Linked DNA regions of Astyanax mexicanus. The protein of the gene in region 1 purifies or fractionates together with the protein of each later gene. This does not show direct contact. Links are inferred from orthologs where the notes say so. Each region holds a gene or a part of one and is shown in the gene's direction. Other genes may lie near its edges.

Region 1 (7,380 bases):
TTGCCCAATCTGGATGATATTTGGCAGTTATGTTCAGGTGGAGACACTGTAGTGACCTGCAAAGTGCTGAAACAATCCGCCCACTGGGGGGCGCTGTTCCAAAAAAACGAGTATATGTCAATCATGCTGTACTATTTTGACATCTAATTGTTTTTGCCATATTTAGTACAGTGGCTCTGACAAATTTCTCAATACAACTATGTTTAAAAAGTGCTTTGTTCATTCATAATTGCTAATTGTTTGAAAATAGCTATATTGAAACTACTCTCTGGATATTTGGCCTATCACCTCCATTTCAGTCTTGCTGCACACTGTAGAGTCTCTAGGTAAATGTTCATTAAAAACATTTGTGAAAATTTCACATACAATACTCTCCAGGCATCAAGCAATCTGTGCGTCCTTGGAATTTCTAACCTAAATTGCTGTAACTCTGCAGTATTTGCTGTAATCTCACAATGTTAAAGACCTCTGTACAATATCACTCTGATGAAGCGCCATTTAATACAGAACTAGATTAAGAATAACTTGACATTACATGTCATATCAGAACATTCACTCCTTTGTGCCTCTTCTCAACATTAATAACAGGTGAAAGACTTTTGATCATTTCTAAATGTGACAGAATGTCTCCAATTGTGTTAGACCTTCTTACACATCACCATCCTATGCTCTAGTAGGCACCATTGTGCTAGTTGGTGCTTGATGAAGCGCCATTTAATTCAGAACTAGATTTATAATAACTTCGTAATTACATGTCATATCAGAACATTCACTCCTTTGTGTTAATTTAAACTTGTTTGGTCAAACATTTCAGCTTGTTCTGCAAAGGTTCAAAGGTCAATCTGAATACCACTTTGTGAACATTCTGGTTGAAGCCACCTGATCAATACCAATAACATGTAGACACCTTTTGACTAGTTCTAACTCACTTAATGAATATCCTACAAAGTTCACTAGATTTACATGTGAATTTAAGCACTGATCAGGTTGAAAGGCCTCTGCTCAACATTAATAACAGGTGAAAAACTTGATAATTTCTAAATGTGACAGGGCATCTCCAATCATATTAGACCTTCTTACACATCACCATTCAATGCTCCAGTAGGCACCATTGTGCAAGTTGGTGCTTGAACCCGATGATTGCCGCTTGCGGCTATATTTATTATTATTATTATTATTATTATTATTATTATTATTATTATTATTATTATTATATATTTTTTTATCATTCATTTCAAACAACCTTACAGGATATAGCACCTAATTATAACACAAGTTAACAATCGGTCCAGACCTTGGCCTTTCGAAATTTCCTCTAACTGGACCATAATGAATTCTAGTTAAGATCTTCCCATACACCTTTTTTTTTTCTTCTGTTTCATCTTCTCACAGACACCATGATAAGAACGTGCTGCCCAGACAGGCTGGAGCTGATCACGTCACTGGAGCTGGACAACAAACTGTTAACTGGACTCTGTTGATGTAGCCAAATTAAAAGATACTATCCAGTTGCATTGGATCCTATTGATTTACATGTCATTTGCACTCTCTCTCTCTCTCTCTCTCTCTGGGTTGTGAATGTGTTGATCTATAGAGATACAATTATACATTGTGTTGACCTGTTGATGTACTTTTACTCTTTTCTAAAGTATCTATTGATATATGTTCCTTTTATATATCTGTAATGCTGAAACAATTTTCAAGTAAAAATTAACTTATTTTAAATTCCAGACTTTAACTCAATATCTATCTTTTTATGCTCTGGGATTTCTCACATTCGAGTTTTAGTCATGCTGTGGTAAATTACTCTACAGTAAAAAAGTGAAATCATTTGCTGGTGAGAATTCAGACACACAATTCATAAAATATCTGTTTAAAATAAAAATAAAAAAATACTTCACGTTGGGACATGTTGACTCTTAGATAATTCATGTTTTGTAAATCTTTTTAAACCATAAATCTTTCAAACAGTTATGCATATGTTCATAAGAGGGTGGAGATCCTGTGTATGTTCAAATATATGCTACAAATAAATGCTACAATTTGTACATGTCCCTTTCGTAATAAAGTATTATAAAAAATATAAATATAATTTAATTTCCAAAAAGTTTCAAAGTCCGATTGGAACTCAAACCCAGAAATGAATGATGTATTCACTTTCGCTTTACTTACATGGTTTGATTTGAGGTGCTGTCCTACTGGCTGTAGAATGAACTGTACTTCTTAATATTACAGGTTTATCCAGCTAATTCCGACGTTAAATCGTGATATATTTATGCTGTGCTGTAATTTTACCAGAATGATTTTCTCTTAACTGCCTGCAGGAGGAACTGATAGATCATTAATCTGTAGGAAATTTTAGTCCAGACCCCTCTCCTCCTCCCCTTCGTTCAACAGAGAGTCTATATAGAGAAGAGCACCCACTCCAGACCGTTTACCCTGTTTATTCAGCCTCCAGAGGGCGCTCCAGAATTAATAAGTTCATATGAAGCAACTGAGCAAAATCAGAGTTTATCTTTGCTGTAGTTGGGCAACAAAGAACAGAACACAAAAATGTGACTTTATAGCAAAAAAGTATCGCAATAAACCCACAGCATATATCAAGGATATCGGAAAAAGGCAGTTTGGCTTTGCCATTAGCAAGCGAGCTAACTAACTTAGTTAGTTAGCGTTAGCGCCACAGGCTAGGCTAGCTAAAGATATAATTACTTTGACTGAGTAACATCTAAGGCAAAAGAAGCACTAAATATCTGTATACAGTAAGAGACACTGTACTAAATCCATAGCTAGCATATATCAATCATATCCAAAAGGGGTCTTTTTTCTCTGTGGTTGCTAGCGTTAGCTATCTCATAGTTAGCACCCACGCAGTTCAGAGACAGTTGGGTCGTCTTTTTAGACTCGGATCTATTAATACAGCAGGGAACACAGCACTGGGCCATATTAACAGACTCAATGCAGTGGTTTAAGAGTATTGCGCAATAATATTGGTGCCAAGTATGATAAAAAAAAAAAAAAAAGCTTTAGCGTGTCATAACAAGAAGCCCTTTTTTTTCTGAAGTACGACATAGTAACTTACAAAAAACAGATTTCTTATAATTACAAGATGTTTATTTTATAATTACGACATACAATGTTGTTTTAACAACATTACTTAAAAACAAGATACTTTTTCATAATAATGGGATATGTATTTTATAATTACGACAGTGATTTTTAAAAATAGGTAGTTTCTCTAAATTAGGGGATGTTTATTTTATTATTACAATATCTCAAAAAACAAGATATTTTCTCGTAATTATGACATTTATTTTATAAATACGACACAGTAACTCATAACAACGAGTTAGTTTCTCATACTAATGCTATGTTTGTTTTATAATTACAACATACTATGTTGTTACGACATACTTTGTCGTTTAAACTATATTAAAGCTCATAAAAACGAGAGTTTCTCGTTATAACGACATGCTAAAGTTTTTTTTAGGAGACTTAGGAGCAATACCTTCAGTAGGAACTCACCAACCAATCAACACTGACTAGCAGCAATGCTAGCGCCTTTACTGAATAAAACCCGTTTACTGTAGAGACATTTAACAATATAGACTAGATTTCTTTACTTTTTTAGTAAAATACTTCATTGTACTTTCCAAAATACAATTAATATACAGGGTAAATAGTTAGTTATGTTTTTAAATAAAGTTTTTGCCGTTTAGCTCTATTTTTCTCTATTTATGAAGGACTTTCTCGCGGGCTCTCTCTAGCGGTGCGCAGTTGCATTATCTGATTATAATAATACGGCATAGCGGGCGGTACCGGAAATAGGTAGTCTTGCCATTAAAACAGCTGTGGCTTGACTTCCACTTGGGAAAATCTATTTATTATTATTTTAAAGGGATGTCTCTTTTGTTCTTTTTTAATGTTAACGTTAATAAATCAATATAACGCACTGTATTATTGTTTGTTCTACTTTATCTTGCGTTTAAAAGGTCAAAAAAGTATTTAAAACAATAATATTTATCAGGACGGGTGATAAACTGAGATTTTAGATGTGTTGTAAAGAAAGTAACCCCCCTATTTCCTTTCTGTGTTTTTTCCTGCGCTTTGAAGTGCGTATGGGAAGTGAGCGAGGGCTGGATTGGGACAGAGTGGGCTGTTGAAAGGGACGCGTTGTGTAGCTGTTTAGATAGTTTGTTAGCCGACTAACTATTATCCTTGTTTTCTGTCGTTTTTAAAGTCTTGAAGGCGTTTTAAAGTCGTAATCTGGTCAGTGCGCTGTTTCGCGTTTGGCTGGTTAGTATGTTAGCTGCTTGAAGGTGGTGGAGAGCTGTTTCTGTTTAGTTTAGTGTTAGTTAGCTAAGATATGCTAAGTGTATTTAAATGTTCTGTGATGTAGGATTATATTAATATTAATATGTATAATTCTGATGTGATTTAAAGCCGTAAAATAAATGATAAGTGAGGAATAAGTGTATTAAATCCTTTTTATTTAACTACAGGTTGCTGGTCGTAGAGCGTAGGGAACAGATAAGTAAACGACCGCACTCCTCGGAATGAAGTGTGCACTACTGAGTCCCTCAGGAGCCCGGGTGGAGCTGTGTGATGGACGCGCCCTGATCCTGGGTCGGGGTCCTGAGTCTGGAGTGAAGGATAAACAGTGTTCCAGACATCAGGGTAAATACACCCTTACAGCCTCTTCTGTATTATACAGAGACCCTAAGGCATACCTGTCAAGTCTCCCGTTTTGGCCGGGAAACTACCGTATTTTATTCCTCTTTCCCGCCGTCCTCCCGTTTTAGTATTTTCCCGTAAATTTCCCGTATTATACTAAATAAAAAATATATATAGGCCACAGGCGACAATGCACTGACCGCTGTGTGTCTCTTAACCAATCGTGGTGCCGGTTCAAGGAGAAAGTCCCGCCTTTCAGGAGAAACAGCCAATCAGCTAGCTGGTTTTGCGGAGCGCAGTTTAGTGTGCGGGAAGCCCCGCCCCTCCCCTCGCTGTGAGTTCAGGCAGCTAGTCGGAGCAGCTGTCGTTAAAACTAATCTGGATATACGGAGATTTTTCTAAAAGAAAGGTAATTAACCATGTAAACTGTGATGAGATTGTTTCTGATAGCTGGTTAAAAAGACTCTTCTCTGAATCAAAACATAAATTAAACCCACTGTGTGTTTAATAAAATACAGCTTAACTTTAGAATTAGCTAGATAGATATTCAGGGTTTGAGAAAAAAAAAAAAAAAAAAAAAAAAAAAAAAAAAAATATATATATATATATATATATATATATATATATATATATATATATATATATATATATATATATATATATATATATATATAATGCCCTGCCCTGATGTGCCTGATCAGCCAATAACTATCATTTCCAAACTCTATTAGTTCAGGGCTAGTTTTAGGGTTTGTTAGAATTTGTTTAAATCTCAAGTATTGTGGTAATGTATTATAATGTAATGTAATGTATTATTTAGAAGGGGTGGAAGAGATGGTTGAGCTGGAGAGAGAGAAAATGTGGAGAGGGCTGAAATTAACTGAACTGATCAGGAGTGGACTGAACAATAGAAAGAAGTATTAATGAAAGATTATTAATTGTGTAGGCCCCTTAGGACTATTATTTACTTATGGAATATATCTGATCCATGTCCTTTTTGTAAATTTGTGCACCCTTCAATTTCAATTTTAAATCTATTAAATAAATAAATAAATAAATATATATATATATATATATATATATATATATATATATATATATATATATATAATATATATATATATATATATATTTTTTTTTTTTTTTCCCTCGTTTGGGCTGTTGGGGCGGCGGAAAAAATCCCTTATTTTTAAGTCCAAAACTTGACAGGTATGCCCTAAGGTGACATCATGTTTAACAAAAAAATATAGCATGGCCACCACTTATTAAGACATGGGAACAAGATACTAACAGGTGGGAATGAAATAATTAAGGCGTGTGAATGAGAAAACTAAGACATGGCCACCACTTATTTAGGCGTGAGAACGAGATCCTAATGGGCGGAAATGAGAAAATGAAGGCTTGGACACAGCTTATGAAGGCATTGGAACGAGATACTAATGTGTGGCAACAACTTATTAAGGTGTGGGAATGACATCCTAACGGGTGGGAATAAGATAATTAAGTTGTGGCCACAGCTTACTAACCTGTGGGAACAAAATGCTAATGCGTTCCCGAAACTTATTAAGGCGTGGGACAACACTCTAATGGGTGGGAATAAGATAATTAAGTCGTAGCCACGAAAAAAATGTAGGCATGGGAACAAGATGCGTGGGAATGAGATTCTACTGGGTGGCAATGAGATAAGTAAGGTGTGTGAATGAGATAATTAAGTTGTGGCCATGACTTATTAAGGCATGGGAACTAGATACTAATGCATGGCAATGTCTTATTAGGCTGTGGGAACGAGATCCTAATGGGTGGGAATGAGATAATTAATGTTTGTGACTGAGATAATTAAGTTGTGGCCATGACTTATGAAGGCATAGGAATGAGATACTAAAGAGTGGGAATGAGATAATTAAGGCAAAGGAATGAGTTTCTAATTGGTGGGAATGAGAAAATTAAATTGTGGCCACAACTTATTAAGGCATGGGAACAAGGTACTAATGCATGTCCACGACTTATGAAGGAGTGGGAACAAGATCCTAATGGGTAGAAATTAGATAATTAAAGTGTGTGAATGAGAAAATTAAGTCATGGCCACGACTCATTACGGTGTTGGAACGAAATCCTAATCGGTGGAAATTATGGTGACATAATGTAAAAAAAAAAAAAGGCAAGGGCACAACTTTTTAAGGAGTGGGAACAACATCCTAATGTGTGGCTACGACTTATTAAGGCTAGGGAACAACATACTAATGGTTGGGAAAGAGATAATTAAGGCATGTAAATGAGATAATTAAGTCATGGCCACAAGAAAATTATGTCGTGGACAGAGAATAATAAAGTTGGCTTTTCTGTAAATGAATGCCCATGATGAAACTGAATATTACATCAAAGCTCCTTTAATTCAAGGATGATCTTAAGAAAATGGAGAGTGGCACCGAGTGGTCCAGCGGTCTAAAGCGCTGCCACTAGGGGCGGGAGGTCGCAGGTTTGATCCCCCGCTCATGCAGCTTTGCCATCAAGCTGCCGGCGCTCAGAGAGGGAGCAAAATTGGCCCTGCTCCCTCCGGGTGGGTAGATGGCGCTTTCTCCCCACATCATAGTCGGGGTGATGTCTGCAGCACAGGGCGTCTGTGAGCTGATGTACCAGAGTCGAGCCGCTGCGCTTTCCTCCCAATGCTGCATTGCTAGGCGATGCTGCATCAGCAGCAGCTCGAAAAGA
Region 2 (8,070 bases), on another chromosome or scaffold:
TCAGAAATGACAAAATGTTTTAAATGTTTTTGTTTTTATTATTAGTAAGATTGATCTGAGGGCACTGAGCTGGAGGATGAAACAGCGTCCCAGTGAACCGGCTCAGATCCAGCAGAACCGCCGGGTCAGATCCAGCAGAACCGCCGGCTCTATTTATTATTATTCTGATATTATGATAAACCAGTTTGTACAAAAATGTTTGTTAATTTCCAGTCTACTGAACTATATTGTCTATCGATATTGTTTTAAAGTATTAAAGTTATTGGTAATTCTGATACACTGAGCACTGTGGGAAACTACCGAAAACCTAATATCTGCAGTTTACCCAACTACTGAACTAATGCAAATAACCCAGATGTTTTAATATAAATAGTTGCTGTGCTCTGTCTCTCAAAGTAATTAAGATTTTCACAGATACACAGATCAGTTAGTGCCCGCTGTGTTGCCCCCTTGGCCCTGTGCTGCAGCTCAGTGTATTTTGGGGGGGTCTTCATACTGGGCCTGTTAAAATACCCCCTCAGGTTTGGATCAGGGATGTCAGGGGAAGTAAAACCATATGGAGCCAATCAGAACCCAGTAAAGCCAACGAGACTTCATTCCAGTTCAGAAGGAGAACAGAGGAGCTGGATTCTCCAAAAACACAATTTTTTACATTTCCCACCTCAAATATCTGATCAGCACCAGTAACACTGCGTATACCAATATTGTTTTATATTATTGTTATGGATAACAGACAAGATATTTAGGGAGTTTTTGTCACAAGCTTATGTTTGGTATTATTGTTAAAAGTTGGGAGAGTTAAACATAATTCAGACAAAACATTTAAATAAAAGTAAGAATTTTATCTGGTTTACAGAAACATTAAAAATATAATTTGATGATTATTTCACTGATTTGGTTTCTAAACTGAAAGATTTCACTCTTGGAGCACAACAGTGCAGAAACCTGGGCATCAAACCCACAACCCGCTTCTGCTCCAACCACTAACCCACCACTGACCAAACCAACAAACTGAAGACAGAGTTCATACGGTCATGAAAAACCTGGAAAAGTCATGGAATTTGAAAACAGCAAATTCTAGGCCTGGATAAGTTTTGGAAAAATAAAAATACCCAGAAAGTTTTGGAAAAGTCATGGAAATTATTGCTCTACAAATCTCAGTGTTTCAGTTTATCGTCTAAGAAAAGCTAATTTGGTGTTAAAAATAATTGAATGTTTAGGCAAATCCATCGTGTCCCGTCTGCACTGATATTTTAAAGACTGTACGGTCTGGAAAAAACATGGAAATGTATTAGTTGAAAAGTGAAGAATTTACTTCTAGATGCTTGTTATACTGGGTTAAACTGGATATTAGCTTAATCTCCCAGTAAATAAAAAAACTAAAACAGTATAAAGCATTCCTCAGTTCATTATTAAATTAATTCATTAACAGCATAATAAAGTCTCTTCAGTAAGAATTTGAGAACTCAAACTTTGGATATCGACTCAAACCCTTCAGATCATCCAACTCTATGCGACAAAATATATGATATAGTTTTATATACTTGCATCTATACACGAACACACACACAAATATATACATATATAATACATACATGAACACTAGTGTTGTGACTGTAAAAGAGCAGAACAGTAAATGTTTGAGCTCTGTAGAGCCACAGCTTGATCTGGTTTAGCTGGACCCTCCTGATGCCCCTCTGGAAGCGTAAACACAGCAATCTTCAAACAGTGGATCTGCTGATTGTCCAGAGTTTACCACTCGCACTCGGGCACTGCTGGGCTGATGTATGCCCACGCGAAGGAAAATTACCCCACACAGAATCAGCGCCGAGCCGCTGCCAGCTCAGATCTCCCCGCGTTTATTATTCAATTTTACAAACATTAAAGCTGCAGGGGTTTCATTACACAATACCCACACAAAGCTCCATTCATAACCCAGCGCTGGTTCCAATTTACCACGAGAGGGGGTGAACAACCCCCACACCCCCAAAACTCACAGCGCACTCCTGTACTCTCCTGTGTATGTATGAATATATATATATATATATATATATATATATATATAAAATAAAGACACTGATGAGTAGTTGAGGTTTTTAAGGCAATATACTGTATAAAAAAAGAGAGAGAGAGCGGTTAAGCAAGAGGTTTAATAAACTGAGTTCAGACTTGGACGAGAGAAAGTCAGACTTTATTTAGTAGAGCCGCTTGAACGTTAACTCACACAGCTGAAAACACAGTCGCTGCAGGATGAGATTTATGGACTGGTCAGAGATCTCTGTGCAACTCGTTCACGAGCAGCTCTGGACTGAACCACGGCTTCTCCCACCACGTTTCATTACGTGGTTCTGGGCCTGAGATAATGGGAGCTTTTGGACACAAATAACAATAACAATAATTCATGTTTACAAAACAGTCAGAGTGAAAAATGCACAACTTTTACTTCAAAAGCAGTTCCTGTCCTTTAACAGAACCCCCGCGCTGCAGAACACAGCAAAGAAAACACCGCACAGAACCAGCCCAAACGCCGACACATCACACAGCCCCTCCCGCAGAGATGTCTTCTTCCTAAATCCCTCCATTTCTGATCCATCCATCCTCAGCCAACGCTCTTCAACTTCTGCTATTCCGAGAATAAAATGGTGAACGCCATGATGATACAGCAGCACGCCACGTACGGACTCTTCCGCTCACCTGCAAACAAAACAATGCATTAAATAATGTAGACCTACACTGTACACTCACACACACAAACACACATTCTCAAGGTGTTTGGAACCCATACAGAATAACATACCTATTCTTGCACATTTCCAGAAAATTCCTAGAAATCTGTTGGGGTAGAAAACAGAGAGTAAGAGAACTGTATTATTAAATATTACACACGCATCATTATTTACAATGTTATTTATGTTAATTAGTAGATATTGATTACACTATTAACAGTTACCCAAATGATTAACAGTCATCAGTAGTTTTTATAGTGGGAAGCACATTTCTCCGGTGAGTAAAATCTGATTAAAGGTAAATTAAAAAGTACATTCCGTTAGTTTTAATGTTGAGAACTGTAAATACCGTTAACTTCTTATGGAAACAGAATTCAACACAGCCGCTCTGTATCTGTAGCTCCTGGCTTAATGCCAAGGAGAATTAAGCTCTCATTAAATCATCTTCCTGCAGAGATGAGCAGGATCAGGGTTAGAAGAGAGACATCCCTCTCCGGAGGCGCCGGACCTCGCCAGAAATATCTACAGCCGACTGGAATATAAAGCCCATATAAACCCGGCCAGTTTCACCAGAACCAAACAAACATTTGGAACATCTCAGTCTTTATCAGAACAGATACAGTGCAGCAAAACATTTAATAAACTCTGATTCATCCATTACACACAGTTTTACCAGAACAACAACAACAAAAAAAAAAACATCTGCCATCCAACCAACATTACCTGCATACTCTATAAAAGTACCCCAGGTTTTTTCAGAAACATCTCAGAAAAACAACTTTGGGTTCCCTAGAAAACCAAGTCTAAAAACGAGACAAGAGTCTGAAGAACCGTTCTTTAAACACTGCAAAACAGCAGAATAGGTAAAACCGGTAAATGCAGCTTTGACATTACAGCTCCAGACTAACATTTTTCAAAACCATTCTAAAGCTTTGTGGTAGCCGCCCCAAAATACATATTCTTTTTTTTTTTTTCTTAACATTACTGTTACCTCTAGCAGCATTACCAGCTTTAATAATCTAATAGCCGTCGGAACGCAGAAATATATTTATATCTGGATTGAAACACACTCCTTTACACAAACGCACAGATTAAGATCTAAAGTTTCTCCCAAAAATAAAACACTATCTTTGCAAAATATCTATGTTATTTTTTTCCAAGGATCTATCATTTGACAAACCTCTTAAATATATTGATGCCTTATTTTTTTTTTATTTAAGATTCTAAACCAAAACATACTTTATTTTAGTGTTTAATTATGACTGTCCAACAATTATAATGTCCAACATTTTTTAAATAAATAAATATGTAAAGACAAATATCATTTTATTTCGCTTATTTTTAGGATGAATAAAAAGTACACGATCTTGTTTTAGATACATACCCTGTTTTATTCTTGTCCAGCAGGCTGGGAGCTAAAGCTCGGATATAAGCGCAGGTACAGATCAGCAGCAGAATTACCGTCAGTAAACTCTGGAAATTAAAAATTGCAGACTGCAAAAAATAGACAAACATTAGTTACATAGATTAATAATTGCAGTATACAATATAACTTACACTCTTTATTGCAGTGTTTAGGTTCAAGGTGAAATAAACTTTAGTTTAATGTTAAACAGGCTGTTGATTATTAATGATAATATTTAGTAGATGTAACTCGGGGTTCTAATGTAGAATCAGATTTATTCTACAGAGAAAAACTTTAATATTAATCAGAACTAACGAGCTAATGCTAAAGCTAACGGGCTAAAGCTAATGGGCTAAGGTTAGTGTTTCCCGGCGGTTCTGCAGCGGGATGTTCTGGGAGAAGCTCCGCGCGCCATCGGGAAGATATTAATTTTAGCGCTCCGTTTAGTAAATCAATTTAATCCGGGATTAAATAAAGAAATGTTTCGGTTTTCTCACCATTTCCACAGCTCCGGTAAGCCACCTCACACTTCCTGTACACAGAGGAAATGACGACACTACAGCGCGTCTCATCTGCACAGAGTAAACAGAGAAATCAAGCTGAGGCTAATGCTAACACCCTGCTGACCCACAGGTAAAACACTAACACTCCTCTCACTCTTTATACTCTCACTCTCTATACTCTCACTCTTTATACTCTCACTCTTTATACTCTCACTCTCTAACACTTTCCTTCTCTTTCCTTTCACTCTCTTTACTCAAATTCAAATTCAAATTCAAAGTTGCTTTATTAGCATGACAAATTTTCACATTTGTATTGCCAAAGCTGTGATTAACAAGTATATATATATATTCCTGACAAAATTTAACATAAGATAACTGTACAGGTAAATTTGAACACAAGTTTAAGTAAACAATTAAATTAATTATTATAAGAAAAAAAAAAAAAAAAAAAAAAAAAAAAAAAAAACATATGATTTATAATAAAGAGTAATAGAGCTTGTAGTTCTGTACAGCAGTGTATCTGTGGTCACTCACTGTCCCTCAGGCTGTGGCAGGCCTGGACGTACTGCGCTGCCAGAGTGCAGCACTCACTGTGTTCCCCCAGCAGGTAGGGGAGTTTTTCTGGATCGGGGATGTTTTTAAATGCAGGTAATTTGTGGGTGAATTTGGTGTAGAATTGGGTTCTAATCTGGGAATATTTGGGACATTCTGTAAGGAAGTGCAGCTCTGTCTCTGGTCTGTTCAGTGGGCAGTGTGGGCACACTCTCTGCTCTTTGGGCAGCCAGGATTTCTTGTGCCTGCCCGTCTCTATGGCCAGGCTGTGGGCACTGAGTCTGTACCTGGTCAGGGTGGACCTCAGTTTGGGGTCAGTCAGGGTGCTCAGGTATTCCGCTGCTCTGTACTGACGGTTTAGGGCCGAATAACACTGTAGTTTACTCTGAGATTTAGTTTGAGTTTCCCAATAGCTGATGTAGTTTTTTTGGAGTTGTTTTGTAATTTGGTTGAATCTGATTGGTGTCTGGTCCTGAGTGTGTGGGGTGTTAGTGTGTGTTAGAGCTGTGTGTGTAAGTGTGTTAATGTGTGTGAGTGTAGAACTGTGCTTCAGGACCAGCTGAGTGAGGGGACTGGTGTCTTTGCTCAACTCTTGGTACTGCAGAGATTTATAATGGTAAGAGTGGGGGTCGCTGTGTTGTAAATGTGTCCAGAATTTGATTGCCCTTTTTTGTATTTTTAAAATCAGTGGAAATTGGCCTAATTCTGCCCTGCATGCGTTGTTTGGGGTGTTTCTGTGAACCTTCAGAATAATTTTACAGAATTCTGCATGCAGGGTCTCAATTGGATGTTTGTCCCATTTACTAAATTCTTGGTTTGTAAGCGGACCCCACACTTCACTGCCATAAAGGGCAATAGGTTGAATTACAAACTCAAATATTTTTAACCAAATTCTAATTGGAATTTCTACAGGAATTTGTTGTTTTATGGCGTAGAAAGCTCTGCGTGCTTTTCCTTTCAGTTCATTCACTGCCAATGTAAAGTTTCCAGATGAACTGATTGTAATACCTAAATAATTGTAGTTTTTTGAATATTCAATATTATTTGTACCTAATTTAAATATGTGCTTTTGCCCCTGAGATCTGGATCTTTTTTGAAATACTAAAATATTTGTCTTTTTTAGGTTTACTGCCAGGGCCCAGGTCTGGCAGTACTGCTCCAGCAGGTCCAGGTTCTGCTGTAGACCCTGTTCTGTGGGGGACAGCAGGACCAGGTCGTCTGCGTAGAGCAGGAATTTGATCTCTGAGTCGTGCAGAGTGAGACCCGGGGCTGCAGACTTCTCTAATATTTTTGCCAATTGGTTAATATAAATATTGAATAATGTTGGACTCAAGCAGCAGCCCTGTCTCACTCCGCGCTCCTGAGAGATGGAGTTTGTTTGTTTGCTGCCAATTTTTATTCCGCATCTGTTTCCAGTGTACATTGATTTAATTAGATCATATGTTTTACCCCCTACACCGCTCTCTAGCAGAGTGTATAATAATCCTTGGTGCCAGATTGAATCAAATGCTTTTTTAAAGTCAATAAAACATGCAAAAATTTTGGATTTATTTTGGGTAACATATTTATCAATTAGGGTGTGTAGGGTGTAAATATGATCAGTGGTGCGGAAATTTGGTAAAAATCCAATCTGACTTCTACTCAAGACATTGTGCTCCATAAGGAAGTTTAAAAGTCTAGAATTTAAGATGCTGCACATCAACTTCCCCAGATTACTGTTCACACAGATGCCTCTGTAATTATTGGGGTCGAATTTATCTCCATTTTTAAAGATTGGTGTTATAAGTCCATAGTTCCAGATTTCAGGGAAGTAACCTACACTCAGAACCAGGTTAAATAATTTCACAATTGCCAGCTGTAATTTAGAACTTGAACTTTTTATCATTTCATTTAGTATGCCGTCTGGCCCACTTGCTTTCTTTGGTTTTAGTTTGTTAATCTTTTCTTTAAGTTCCTGCGCAGTAATTGAGAAGTCTAATGGGTTTTGATTGTCTTTAACAGCTAATTCTAGTTTTTTAAGCTTTTTGTTTATATTATTTTGCTGTGGATTTGAATTTGTCTCTATTTTTCTGAAAAGTGTCTGGAAGTGGTTCGTCCAAATATCTCCATTTTGTATAGCCAATACTTCACGGTCTCTTTTTTTAAGGTTGTTCCAGTTTTCCCAAAATTGATTGGTTTTGATTGACTCCTCAATTAGTGTCAGTTGTTTGTGAGTGTGCTGGGCTTTTTTGGTTCTGAGTGTACGTTTATACTGTTTTAATGTCTCACAGTAAAGAAGGCGTATGTGGGTGTTTTTTGGGTCACGGTGCTTTTGATTTGATAATTTCCTTAGTTCCTTACGTATGTTTTGGCACTCCTGGTCAAACCAGTTATCTTCTTTTTTAAGCTTAGGTTTTGATGTATTAATAATTTTTAATTTAGCCTTTTCTGATGTGTTTTTGAATATTGTATTTAGATTTTTTACTGCCAGATTGACTCCTTCTTTACTGTGATAATATATGGTATCCAGAAAGGTGTCTAACTGAGTTTGAATTTCTTGGGTGCTGATTGTTTTCTGGAACTCTTCTGTGCTGTTTTGGGCCCATCTGTATGGTCTCCGGATGTTGTACAGCTTACTGGGCTGAGTGTGTGCTGTGCTGTTAGTCTCTGTCCTTTTAATGAACACAGTAATTTGACTGTGGTCAGACAGAGGGGTTAGTGGTTTTACAGTGAATGCACTGAGAGAGAAAGGATCTAAATCTGTGATCATGTAATCTACTGTACTGTTCCCAAGAGGTGAGCAAAATGTGTATCTTCCTAAAGAGTCCCCTCGTGTCCTACCGTTGACAATGTACAGACCCAGGCTTTGACAGAGCTGCAGGAGGTCTCTTCCGTTTCTGTTTAC

The links. Proteins that work in one complex are often made in the same cells at the same time.
Region 2: the proteins of bifunctional polynucleotide phosphatase/kinase (region 1) and xrcc4 purify together in Homo sapiens (co-immunoprecipitation; 5 studies listed by BioGRID and IntAct, counting the BioPlex papers as one, with this or other methods). This does not show direct contact. The link is inferred for Astyanax mexicanus from reciprocal best matches to the Homo sapiens genes PNKP and XRCC4.

What each region holds. Positions count from the first base shown.
Region 1 is NC_064425.1:32,501,176-32,508,555, forward strand, and holds the start of bifunctional polynucleotide phosphatase/kinase, read left to right. Parts: upstream 1-4,116; 5' UTR 4,117-4,266; exon of another isoform or gene 4,267-4,293; intron 4,294-4,499; 5' UTR 4,500-4,553; coding exon 4,554-4,674; intron 4,675-7,380. UniProt on the Homo sapiens protein: Plays a key role in the repair of DNA damage, functioning as part of both the non-homologous end-joining (NHEJ) and base excision repair (BER) pathways.
Region 2 is NC_064427.1:68,070-76,139, forward strand, and holds the start of xrcc4 (DNA repair protein XRCC4), read left to right. Parts: upstream 1-4,703; 5' UTR 4,704-4,764; intron 4,765-8,070. Other genes in the region: tmem167a (protein kish-A), read right to left, coding at 2,624-2,694, 2,798-2,832, 4,111-4,220, 4,629-4,703.